3 linked regions of the Mus musculus genome follow. The protein of the gene in region 3 purifies or fractionates together with the protein of the main gene of each other region. This does not show direct contact. Links are inferred from orthologs where the notes say so. Each region holds a gene or a part of one and is shown on either strand. Other genes may lie near its edges.

What was found.
Region 1: the proteins of Ptch1 (region 3) and Ccnb1 purify together in Homo sapiens (affinity purification with western blotting; 3 studies listed by BioGRID and IntAct, with this or other methods). This does not show direct contact. The link is inferred for Mus musculus from reciprocal best matches to the Homo sapiens genes PTCH1 and CCNB1.
Region 2: the proteins of Ptch1 (region 3) and Grk2 purify together in Homo sapiens (affinity purification with western blotting; 3 studies listed by BioGRID and IntAct, with this or other methods). This does not show direct contact. The link is inferred for Mus musculus from reciprocal best matches to the Homo sapiens genes PTCH1 and GRK2.

Annotation. Positions count from the first base shown.
Region 1 is NC_000079.6:100,783,613-100,787,923, reverse strand, and holds the start of Ccnb1 (G2/mitotic-specific cyclin-B1), read left to right. Parts: upstream 1-1,437; 5' UTR 1,438-1,521; coding exon 1,522-1,542; intron 1,543-2,020; coding exon 2,021-2,191; intron 2,192-2,305; coding exon 2,306-2,467; intron 2,468-4,276; coding exon 4,277-4,311. UniProt on the Homo sapiens protein: Essential for the control of the cell cycle at the G2/M (mitosis) transition.
Region 2 is NC_000085.6:4,289,204-4,292,847, reverse strand, and holds part of Grk2 (beta-adrenergic receptor kinase 1), read left to right. Parts: intron 1-7; coding exon 8-81; intron 82-202; coding exon 203-304; intron 305-411; coding exon 412-486; intron 487-616; coding exon 617-678; intron 679-1,206; coding exon 1,207-1,258; intron 1,259-1,517; coding exon 1,518-1,609; intron 1,610-1,976; coding exon 1,977-2,076; intron 2,077-2,165; coding exon 2,166-2,244; intron 2,245-2,322; coding exon 2,323-2,453; intron 2,454-2,679; coding exon 2,680-2,774; intron 2,775-2,842; coding exon 2,843-2,950; intron 2,951-3,108; coding exon 3,109-3,175; intron 3,176-3,434; coding exon 3,435-3,535; intron 3,536-3,644. UniProt on the Homo sapiens protein: Specifically phosphorylates the agonist-occupied form of the beta-adrenergic and closely related receptors, probably inducing a desensitization of them. Key regulator of LPAR1 signaling.
Region 3 is NC_000079.6:63,541,630-63,545,273, reverse strand, and holds part of Ptch1 (protein patched homolog 1), read left to right. Parts: coding exon 1-37; intron 38-146; coding exon 147-238; intron 239-1,585; coding exon 1,586-1,784; intron 1,785-2,068; coding exon 2,069-2,190; intron 2,191-2,961; coding exon 2,962-3,109; intron 3,110-3,644.

The sequences.
Region 1 (4,311 bases), about 37 Mb from region 3:
TTTTAGAGAGCACAGGATGGTGTGGTGGGAGGGGGTGCCCTCAGTGGGCCCGTACTGAGGCTTCCACTCCTCACCCCAGGTACCAGCCATATGACGGGTCTACCATAGAACAGCTTACTTGGGGGCATGGGAAAGGAAGGTGAGAAGTGAATAGAGACAGAGAAAGAGAAGGGACGAGAAGGGGGGGTGGGAGAGAGAAAGAGAGAGAGGAGAAAAGATGGGGGGAGGGAGAAGGAGAAAAAGAAGAAAAGAAGCTGGCCAGGAACCTGTGAAGAGAGGGAGAAGGGAGAGAGGGAGAAAAGGGACAGAGAGAGAAAAGAGGGCAGAGTCAGAGAGAGAGGGAGAGGCCAAACAGTCCTTTTTATAGCAAGCCAGGCCTACCTGGCTGTTGCTAGGTAACTGTTGGGCGGAGCATAGAAGGAATGCCAACAACCTGTGCTACAAGAGATCCTGGTCAATAAATAAATCCGCGTTAGTGTTACTGAAAATTAATGTGGAAAATTTCACTGAAGTTAATAAGCCTTAATAAGGAGTTTGACATAGAAAGATAGAGAGTTGCAATAGAGATCTTTGTTAAATAAGATTTTACAAAACTATATTTTTGGAGTAATCTTAAACTTAGAGCAAAATTAAGCATAAGGCACATTTTCTTTTATCACTGGGGCAGTCGCTATTGGGGAGCTTGGTATGTTAATCTATTTGCTTATAATAACCATTTACAGCTGGGCGGTGGTGGCACACGCCTTTAATCCCAGCACTTGGGAGGCAGAGGCAGGTGGATTTCTGAGTTCGAGGCCAGCCTGGTATACAGAGTGAGTTTCAGGACAGCCAGGCCTATACAGAGAAACCCTGTCTCGAAAAAACAAAAAGCAAAAACAAAACAAAAAACATTTACTATGTGTATGTGTGCTAAAACTTCATGCTATCAACCTCAAAATCCATCCCAGATAGCTGTTGGAACAGTCATATTAAAGACCGTCTCTGCAACAAAGCTTTCGGGAACTCTTAAGATAGTATTGGCACTTCTATAGAAGAGGATGAGAAACAATAAATAGGACAACAGCAAAACTGATATGCGTACTCCCCACAGTCATTTTCCTAAAGTCCAACGGAGTCGCCTGGGCTAGCTTGGACAGCACACAAGTGAGCACTGCACGCCATGCCTACCTAAGGCAGGTGGCAGCAATGCGACTTGTGCGCAGGCATAGAGCCTGACCTCGCGAGGGGTGGGCGGTGCTGCCAGCGGCAGCCTCGCTCTGGCCCCGCCCCCGCCCCACCCCCGCCGAACTTGGGATCGCGGGATCGCCCAGGAAACGCATTCTACGGGAACCCGCGGCGCCAATGGGAAGAGAGCGAGTGCCACGAACTGGCCAATGAGGAGCGAGCGGCCCGGGGTTTAAACCTAAGCCCGGCAGACTCCTCCCGGCGTGCTGCGGAGGAACGGCTGTTAGTGTTTAGCTGTGGATAGCCAGAGGTTAGGGTGTCTTCTCGAATCGGGGAACCTCTGATTTTGGAGGAGCCATGGCGCTCAGGGTCACTAGGGTGAGTCGGGCCAGGCGCTGCGGTGATCGCGGCGGGAGAAGACCGCGGGATCCCGGAGCGGGAGGGGGATCCGGGAGGGCTCCGGCGAGGCCGGGGAGCTGAGGACCCACCTTATGGAGGGTGAAAAAGACCTCTGGACCTATCTGGGCTGCAGGACTTGTGGGGAGTGGGTGCTGTGCTCTTAATGGTGAAGGCCCAGGGTGAATTCTTCGCCTTCCCGGAGAGCTGTCTACGACGGAGGCTTTTATGGCATCCTTTCCGATGTAAATTCACCATGTTTAGGGTGGCTTAGGACTTAAGGGGAAACTGGATTAAAGGTGAAAGATTTGGGTGGAAACTTGCTTGTCACGGCTGGAGGCTAGATCCTACCACCCTTGCTTTCCTTAGTTAGGTCCCGCCTTAATTAACCCGTGACTTCCTCGGGGCTGCCTGCTTGCTGCCGTGGACCCTTTTCAAGTTGTTCTTTTACTTCTTTCAGAACACGAAAATTAACGCAGAAAATAAGGCCAAGGTCAGTATGGCAGGCGCCAAGCGTGTGCCTGTGACAGTTACTGCTGCTTCCAAGCCCGGGCTGAGACCGAGAACTGCTCTTGGAGACATTGGTAATAAAGTCAGCGAAGAGCTACAGGCAAGAGTGCCTCTGAAAAGGGTAACTATCGCCCTGAAAAGGGTACCGATCTCCCTAGCCCAATTAACCTGAAAAGGCCCATCTTCTAGCTGTCACCCTTGGGAAAACATTCTGTTCTCTCCCTTTCATCCACAGGAAGCAAAAACGCTAGGTACTGGAAAAGGTACTGTTAAAGCCCTACCAAAACCTGTAGAGAAGGTGCCTGTGTGTGAACCAGAGGTGGAACTTGCTGAGCCTGAGCCTGAACCTGAACTTGAACATGTTAGAGAAGAGAAGCTTTCTCCTGAACCTATTTTGGTAAACTTGCATTTTTTAAAAGTTTGTTTCTTCTCTCTGACTTCATTTCACGTTGATGCACATGACAGCATTTAAATATATTACTTATTATTGAGTGGCTAGCAAAAACATTTTACATGCATTAACGACTCTGGGGTGAGTATTAGCACCCTGCGTCAAATGGTGGCAGATAAATATGGTGGGGCTTTTTGTTTTATGTAGACACCAGAGTCTCACTCACTATGTACTCCTGGCTGGCCTGGGACACGGATGTGGGCATAAATCATTTTCTTTTCTGTGTCTCTGTAGCTCATGCTGTCCTTGAACTTGAGATTTCCACCTCCAATGCTGGGATGGTATATTCAAAAACTATTTTTAAAAAGATTTCAGGCAGAGAAATGAGATTAATTAATAAAATAAGGTGCTTGGTAGAATCCCAGTATTCTGTCTGGCCAGAGGCAGGTGGGGCTCTGAGTCTCTGTAACAAGGTCCAGTCTAGCCAGAGCTACATATAGTGAAACTCCGTATTTGAAAACAAAAAAAGATGATAATGATGGAATGATGGGTTAGCATTTAAGCCTAAAAATGAAGTTTGCCTGAGTTTGTAGCCTGTTAGATTGTGTTCAGCATATTAGGAGGCCCTGGGTTCAGTCCTTGAGTATTAAAATGCAAAAGAGAAAAATGCAACAACAAAAAAAGCATACACGTCGAAGGCACCAGATTTTACTACTAGGTGTGATGATTGGTGCATGTTTGTGATTTGAGCACTTCTGCTAAGGCAGGAAGATTGCAAGTTTAAGGCTAGCCTGGGCTCTCTGTAATCAGGGGCTTGGATACACCTGAATAAAGATTGCTGGCTTAGCATTCTTTTGAATCAAGTTCACGTGGGGCTGAGCTGATGGATAAATGACTTTATTATCTGTTCCTTTGACTTGCTTTACCTACTAGTATTGAGAGTACTTTTTTGTGTGTCTGTGCCCAATTGTGTGTATGTTAGGCCTGAAGAGACAGAGTTCTTTGGAGCTGGAGCCGGCGTTGCAGGCGTTTGTGAGCCACCCAGTGTGGTCGCTAGGATCTGAATTCTGTCCCTCCTGGAGATCGAGGGCTCTTTAATTGCTGAGCCGTCTCTCCAGCTCCCATCTTCTCTTTTGTATTTTGTGTGTGAGGACACAGTTAGAGAGGTTGGAAGACAACTTTTGAGTCAGTTCTTCCACCTTGCGGGTTCTAGGGATTGAACTCAGTTGTTAGGCTTGGCAACAGGCACCCTTACCAGGCTTGCCAGCCTAGTTTTTCCTACTTTTAAACTGCCTTAATCTAAATCGGAGTTTCTTTTTTTATGAGACCAGATCTTGCTGCCTTGTAGTTTGCTATGGAGACCAGGCTGGCTTCATCTCACAGAGATCTGCCTCCCAGGGGCTGGGATTAAAGGCCTGGATCACCATGCCTGGCTCTGTTTGTTAGTTTTTGCTGTTTATGTGTACGATTTGTTTTTCATGAGTGGGATGTGGGTTTGCACATGAGCGCAGGGCCCAAGGAGGCTGGAAGAGGACGTCAGATAGCCTGGAGCTAAGGTTGAGTCCTGGTTCCTGAAGAGAAACTGGATTCCAGCCCTTGGCAAAAGCAGCAGATGTTCCTTTACAGCTATAACTATCACTCCAGCCTAGTGTTAATCATTTCCCAAGAAGAAATTGGGGGAAAGAGTCTGAAATGCTTTCCCTTTATTAGTGAAATGAGTTACATTTATTGAGCATGCTGTACTGAATTGCGGATACAGATACTGGCTTTCCTTCCCTTAATGTAGCCTGTTTCACGGAGCCTCTCTTTTTTAAGGTTGATAATCCCTCTCCAAGCCCGATGGAAACATC
Region 2 (3,644 bases), on a different chromosome or scaffold from region 3:
CTTTCAGGGTACCTGCTTTTCCGGGACTTCTGCCTGAACCATCTGGAAGAGGCCAAGCCCTTGGTGGAGTTCTACGAAGAGGTAAGATGGGCGAAGTCTACTGAGATAAAGGTGCGTAAGCACCTTGCTGTGTCTGAGGCCCCTGGCATCTAGCTTCATGCCGTGGCCACAGACAATCATCTATAGGTATTCCTTCTACCAGATCAAGAAATATGAGAAGCTGGAGACAGAGGAGGAACGTGTGGTCCGCAGCCGAGAGATCTTTGACTCCTATATTATGAAAGAACTGCTGGCCTGCTCACATGTAAGAGTCCTGTGGGGTGTGAACTCATGTGTTGATCCCAGCAACGTGGGATTAGAAGGAAAGAAAGAGCCTTATATAAGATTCACAGCCACCTCTGTCCTCTCCAGCCCTTTTCAAAGAATGCTACGGAGCATGTCCAGGGCCACCTGGTGAAGAAGCAGGTGCCTCCAGATCTCTTCCAGGTTCGTGCTGGGTGCTTCTCCTCTTGCCCCCATTCTGCCCAGATCAGGCCCTCCCGCCTTAAGTCAGCTGGGGCCCTGGAGCCTGGGGCACCGCAGACTTAGTCACCAATTCCCAGCTCTCTCCCCACAGCCATACATTGAGGAGATTTGTCAGAACCTCCGAGGGGACGTGTTCCAGAAGTTCATAGAGAGGTAAGTAGGAGAAGCAGCCTGCCCTGGCTCTGAGCAGCCAGGTGTGGGGTCTGTCTCTGTCCCATCACAGGGACTCTTGAGAGGTCACATAGATCCAACGTCCTCTTCTCCCACCCTGTATCTCCCTGTGCTATGGAGTGTCAGGGTCTAGCAGGGCTGTACCTGAAGTACACGCTTCCCTCTGTGGTGAGAACCACCAGTGTCTAGGCAGAACGCTAGGAACAGCTCTTTCAGTCACCGCCACCCAGCCATGGGAGGTACAGCGGGCTGAGTAGGTGACATCACTGGGAATGTGAGTGAGCAGCAGGTGCTGTACCCTGGTGGAGGTCTGACTGGCGAGCATTTCTCTGATTGCAGCAGGACAACATGGTTCAGGCTGCAGAGGCTTGTTGGCCTGAGCTAACCATAGGCTCAGGAGGTCTCTATGTCCACGTGTCAGGACCCTGGAAGGGCAGTGGGTGGATCGGACTCTGATGACGGCCCAGTGCCTTGATGCTTGCTTGAGTGTGTCTTCTCCTTCTTCCCCAGTGACAAGTTCACACGGTTCTGCCAGTGGAAGAATGTTGAGCTCAACATCCACGTGAGTGGGTTCAGGGAGCTGGCATGCCAGGGGACCCTGGGGAAATGCAGTGGCCAGGGCTTTGCCGTCGGCCCCACAAAGGTGACTCTGGGGGGAGGAGGGCCAGTGCTGGGATCCCAGTAGGAGAGGCTGGAGAACGGTGAGTGTGTGTCTAGATCACAGGAGTAGGAGACCCCGGTAGCAGGGCCTGTCCCTGCTGCCCACATGCCTCTGCTGTGGGGCTGGGGAGGCAGTGACCCTGGCTGTTACCACTCTGCAGCTGACCATGAATGACTTCAGTGTGCATCGAATCATCGGGCGTGGGGGCTTCGGTGAGGTCTATGGGTGCCGGAAAGCAGACACAGGCAAGATGTGAGCACCCTGATCAGCTGGCACTGGGTGGGGTGCCCGAGGGAGGAGTCAGGCTTCTCGAGGTACCATGAGGGACTGGGACCTTTTAAAGAACTGTTCCGGGGATCAGTGTCCCAAGCTTGCCATCCCTGAGTCTCTGCCTACAAGTGACTCCTGCCCCTGTCCCCTCCTCCCTGTTTCGCTCTGGCTGTCCTGTCTCCCTCGGGCTCCTCGGAGACTCACTTGCCGGCACCTCCTGCGCTCTCTAAAGCACTGGTTGTGTCACGTGGTTTGTCTTGCATCTGGTCTGCAGCAGCAGCCTGCTGAAGCAGCTGGGGCTCTCCCCTGCAGGGCTCGCTGACACTGCTGACCTACTCCTCCATCATAGGTACGCCATGAAGTGTCTGGACAAGAAACGCATCAAGATGAAGCAGGGAGAGACCCTGGCTCTGAACGAGCGGATCATGCTTTCCCTCGTCAGCACCGGGGTGAGTTGGGTGGCCAAGCGGGCCTCCGTAGTGACCTCTGACCCCAGCCTCGGCCAGCCTTCCCTCACTCACCTTCCCCTCCATCCTAGGACTGCCCCTTCATCGTGTGCATGTCATATGCATTCCACACACCAGACAAGCTCAGCTTCATCCTGGACCTCATGAACGGTGAGCTCGGCCCTAGGGGGTGGACCTAGGGCTGGACCTGGGCAGGAAGCTGAGTCTTACCTGGGGGCTACCCCTCAGGTGGGGACCTGCACTACCACCTGTCTCAGCATGGAGTCTTCTCTGAAGCCGACATGCGCTTCTACGCCGCTGAGATCATCCTGGGCCTTGAACACATGCACAATCGCTTTGTAGTCTACAGGGACCTGAAGGTGAGGGGCTGCTGCCACCTGCCTCCTGCCTCTAGGCCTGCAGCATGGCCAGCTTAGCCTCTTTCTGAGTTCAGTTGTGATGGAGGGGTGAGCAGTGAGCGGGAATGGGGCGGGGGGAGGGGAGAGGCGGAATGCCCTACCTGGGGCCTTGTCCCAAAACCATGTAGTTCCCTCCAGTGAGGGTCCAAGCTGGCCTCCTGGTGAGCTCTCTGGGCTTCCTTCACAGCCAGCCAACATTCTCCTGGATGAACATGGCCATGTGAGAATCTCGGACCTGGGCCTAGCCTGTGACTTCTCCAAGAAGAGGCCTCATGCCAGTGTGTAAGTGCCTAGCCATTCCCTCCATTCCCAACCTTCCTCCACTTCGCTTATAGCCTGTGCTCCCACAGGGGCACACACGGGTACATGGCCCCCGAAGTCCTACAGAAGGGCGTGGCCTATGACAGCAGTGCAGACTGGTTCTCCCTGGGCTGCATGCTCTTCAAGTTGTTGCGGGGGTGAGTAGGCTAGCCCAGACGGGCAATCCAGATAGGAAGCGGGGAGGAGAGCCCTGTAAAGCCTGGGTGTTAAGAGGTGGAGCCTCCCTCAGCGCTCACTAGCCCTGCCCACCAGTCCACCTCACTTTTCCCATCCTTGCTCTTTGCCTCTTGTCCAGACACAGCCCCTTCCGGCAGCACAAGACCAAAGACAAGCATGAGATTGACCGCATGACGTTGACGATGGTAAGTATAACGGTGGCAGTGAGGCCTACGTGGTGCCAGAAGCATAAACTCCTGGTTCTCTCTGCCGGCTCTCCCGTCTCTGTACCTGAGGGCTGGGCTGCCGCCCTGTAGCCTCTTGCCTTGCCTGTGCTGTCAGAGCTCACACTGGCTGAGGACCAGTGGGAAGCTGGGCCTCATCTCCTTCTGCTGGCCTCTAACCCTCCCCCGGAGCCAGGCTCTCTTCCTGGCTTCTGTTGACTCCTCCTCTTTGTCCTGAAAGGCTGTAGAGCTGCCTGACTCCTTCTCCCCTGAACTCCGATCCCTGCTGGAAGGTTTGTTGCAGAGGGACGTCAATCGGAGACTAGGCTGTCTGGGCCGTGGGTGAGTATCCTGGCCTCTCCACCATGTGACCATACTCAGTCTTTGCTGGGCTCTGCTGGGCCAGCCTGCCTGGGCCTCTGGCTGTGCCCCCTTAGAACAGTGGTTGTGT
Region 3 (3,644 bases):
AGGGGAACTTATCACGGAGACAGGTTACATGGATCAGGTACATTCTTTTCTTGTTTGCAGAGAGGGGAAAGTGTTCAAAATTTCTGGAAACAACCCGAGCAGCGAGTGTGAGCCTAAAGCACCCCTATTGTTTTTTGCTTTGACAGATAATAGAATACCTTTACCCTTGCTTAATCATTACACCTTTGGACTGCTTCTGGGAAGGGGCAAAGCTACAGTCCGGGACAGCATACCTCCTGTAAGTGCACCCTCAGTGTCCAGCCGCTGGACTCAGTGACAGTTTCCGGTGTGGCTTATCATTGTTTATTCTGTTTCAGTTTTGGACAAGAAATAAAAACATTGAAATTCCATGCGCATTTTTTTGAGTGAATGGTGGGGGGGGAGGGGATTTCAGCAGAATGTTTTTTTCCTCTTTTCAGAAACAGTTCTGTAGGCATCATTAGATTTCATTCACTTTTACCAACCTATTTATATGCAAATAAAATGCAAATCATTGCACAGTCTGTACAATTTTTTAAAAACTCTTTATAAAATGCTCGTAGTTATGCAGACCAACACTCAGACATTTAAGAAGATAATTTATTACTGGGTTCTTGTCACAAGGAAATACTTCAGCTAAGGTTCAAGATATTCCTGCAGAGAAAAATATGGACCCTACTTTGGATCATGGTAATGATGTTTAAGCGGGGAAATGCGCTGTCTATAAAGGCCGTGATAAGGGATGCTTCGTAGCTCAGCAGTTAGGAATTGCATACACCACACCATTTAAAGAATGATGGTTACTCGGTGTAGACTTTCTTCAGCTAATTATGCGAGAGTTAGTGCTTGGGTTATTGTTTCCGTCCTGGCCCGCACATATCTGCAAAAGCAATTTGCAGTGGCCATCCCCTGACCTTCAGTGTACAGTTTTAGATGGGAAATAAGGGGTTTTGTGTTTTCTGGTTGGGAGACTCTGAATAATGACTTCAGCCTGGTTAAGCAGCTACAGTACGGTTTGAACCACATAACAGGCAGCCAAAAGCCTTTCTGGTCTGTCAACAGCCCAGTTTCCAAAGTGAGTGGGGGGTTAGGAGTGGCTGTAATAGTGGTGATGGTAGAGTCCCGGGGGGGGGGGGGCGCTTGCCCACCCCACTGGCAACCTGTGAGAGGGACCTCGTAAGAATGATTGTTAAAGTTAGCAGATCAAATACTTGGATTGGTCACATTTAAAAAGCAGTTTTTAAGCAGGCAGGTAATATTGTAATTCATTCTTTCGGTTTTTCACTTTGGAGCTCAGAAGAACCCATCCCTCCCCCCACCAGCTAATTTTTTTTAAAGGTATCAAATACTATATCAGGGGATTAAGATTGTCTGTTGGTTCCCTTAATTTGCAAACCCTGCTTGCCATCCTCAGCCATGGATTCTTTTCCTGACTTAAGTTTGCCAGTGGCTTTACTGGGAAAGAACTTTTATATTTTCTCCTTTCCTTTATACTCAGGCCCCAGAGTTTTGCTTTAATAAGCCTGTGTTGTGCAAATGCAGCCATGTGCCCTCCTGCCTGTCTGAGCCACATTTTTCATGGCCTCACCTCTAATTTCTTTCGCAGAGGTAAGCCTCCTTTACGGTGGACAAACTTTGACCCCTTGGAATTCCTAGAAGAGTTAAAGAAAATAAACTACCAAGTGGACAGCTGGGAGGAAATGCTGAATAAAGCCGAAGTTGGCCATGGGTACATGGACCGGCCTTGCCTCAACCCAGCCGACCCAGATTGCCCTGCCACAGCCCCTAACAAAAATTCAACCAAAGTGAGTTTCGGGGGGGGTGCTTTTCTGTTTTCACTTACAGTTCTCTCTATGATTTTCATCCTGAAGATTTCGTTTGGCAGTGACTTTTGTTCCTTTTTAATTTGGTGTATGGAACTAAGGTTGTTCACAGAGCTGAGTTTTGCTGTAAGATTTAGCATAACCCTCATTAGTCTTGCTATTAATGTTTTCTCTGAAACAAACAAGCCCTTAACGCACTGGATCTTAACGAGGCATGTGACCTGCCTACTAATTCCCATAATTATGTGACTGTCTTTTCATTACAGCCTCTTGATGTGGCCCTTGTTTTGAATGGTGGATGTCAAGGTTTATCCAGGAAGTATATGCATTGGCAGGAGGAGTTGATTGTGGGTGGTACCGTCAAGAATGCCACTGGAAAACTTGTCAGGTAATCCAGCAGAGTACCCCCCACTCTAGCCTGTGCCCCTTTTCTTGTACACAGGCCTTTGGACTCATGTAAATCTTAGCTAGCTGTCCAGTTCATTGAACCTTGGGGAACATTAGCACACCAGACCAGCTTGCAAAGAGATCTTGTGGGCAAGGTTTTCTAGAATGGATTTGTAGTTTTCATCAGAGCAGTAGCTGTTGATTTCAAGGTTTTGGAAGGTCTGCCCTTACATAGACTAATGGGATAAGAAAATCCAGTATTAGTGTACAATGAGTTGAGGGGTAGGAGCTGATCTGTGTCACGCACTGTTAAGAGTCAAAGACCAGGAACAGCAAGCAAGGCAAGAGTTGGCCTCTGTGCAGCCAGGATTCCAGTCAGTCAAGTGTCAGGTGTTTCGTCTGAGGTTTCTCCCTCGGGACACTGTCTCTGGGATTTCTGCACACAGAGAGTGTGTGGCTGAACCCAGTGTATCTGGTCAAGCTATCTACTCCCCTCTCCTTCCTGTTTCATGGAATAGGAACTGAGAAAGGAAATTGCTTATTAATTTAATTTTGGGGTCTATCTGTAAAAGGTTTGTAAGGTTACACCTTTAATATGGTACATCAATCTATTAAATACAATAACCATCCTGGTCTTGTTTGAATGGAAACATGTGCACACAGAGGAGGGAAGAAGTCTGAGGGAAAACTGGGGATGCTTGCTTGGGACTTCACATTGCACACACTGCTTGGCCGCTGTGCTGACCTTCCTTCTGTCCATTCACCTTGACAGCGCTCACGCCCTGCAAACCATGTTCCAGTTAATGACTCCCAAGCAAATGTATGAACACTTCAGGGGCTACGACTATGTCTCTCACATCAACTGGAATGAAGACAGGGCAGCCGCCATCCTGGAGGCCTGGCAGAGGACTTACGTGGAGGTGAGGCCCTGCCTAGAAATCAGGACAACTTGTAACTGAGCCCAGTCTTCCTTTCCTATTGAAACATTGTTTCCCGTTAGGTGTAGTGGGATTTTTGTTTGTTGTTTAGTCTAATAGTGCAGCCCAAGCAGTCTCAAAATTGCTGTCCTCCTGCCTCAGCCTCCTGATTGCTGGGATTACACCACTGAACTCAGCCTCCATCTCTTCAATACAAACTTTAATTCTAAGCACTGCATGAAATGCAAGCTTGATTTTCTTTATCCAGCCATTGAAAGTTTTGGGAGTAGTGTCTGAAGAGACACTCATTCTTAGTTGGGGTTCCCTGAAACATGCCTAGTAACTATTGTAGATCTCAGAGCCCAGGCATAACAGTGCAAAAGGGGGAGGGGGAAAACCCACACTGGGTGAACAAGAAAAGGTGTCTGGAAAACATTAGCAAAACAGAATCTATTCACAGCTGCAGGCCCCTTGGTCAGGTCATGTGACAGGAGGCTGGCCTTTGTTTCCCCAAGCAGTGACCTCTATGGAGCTGCCT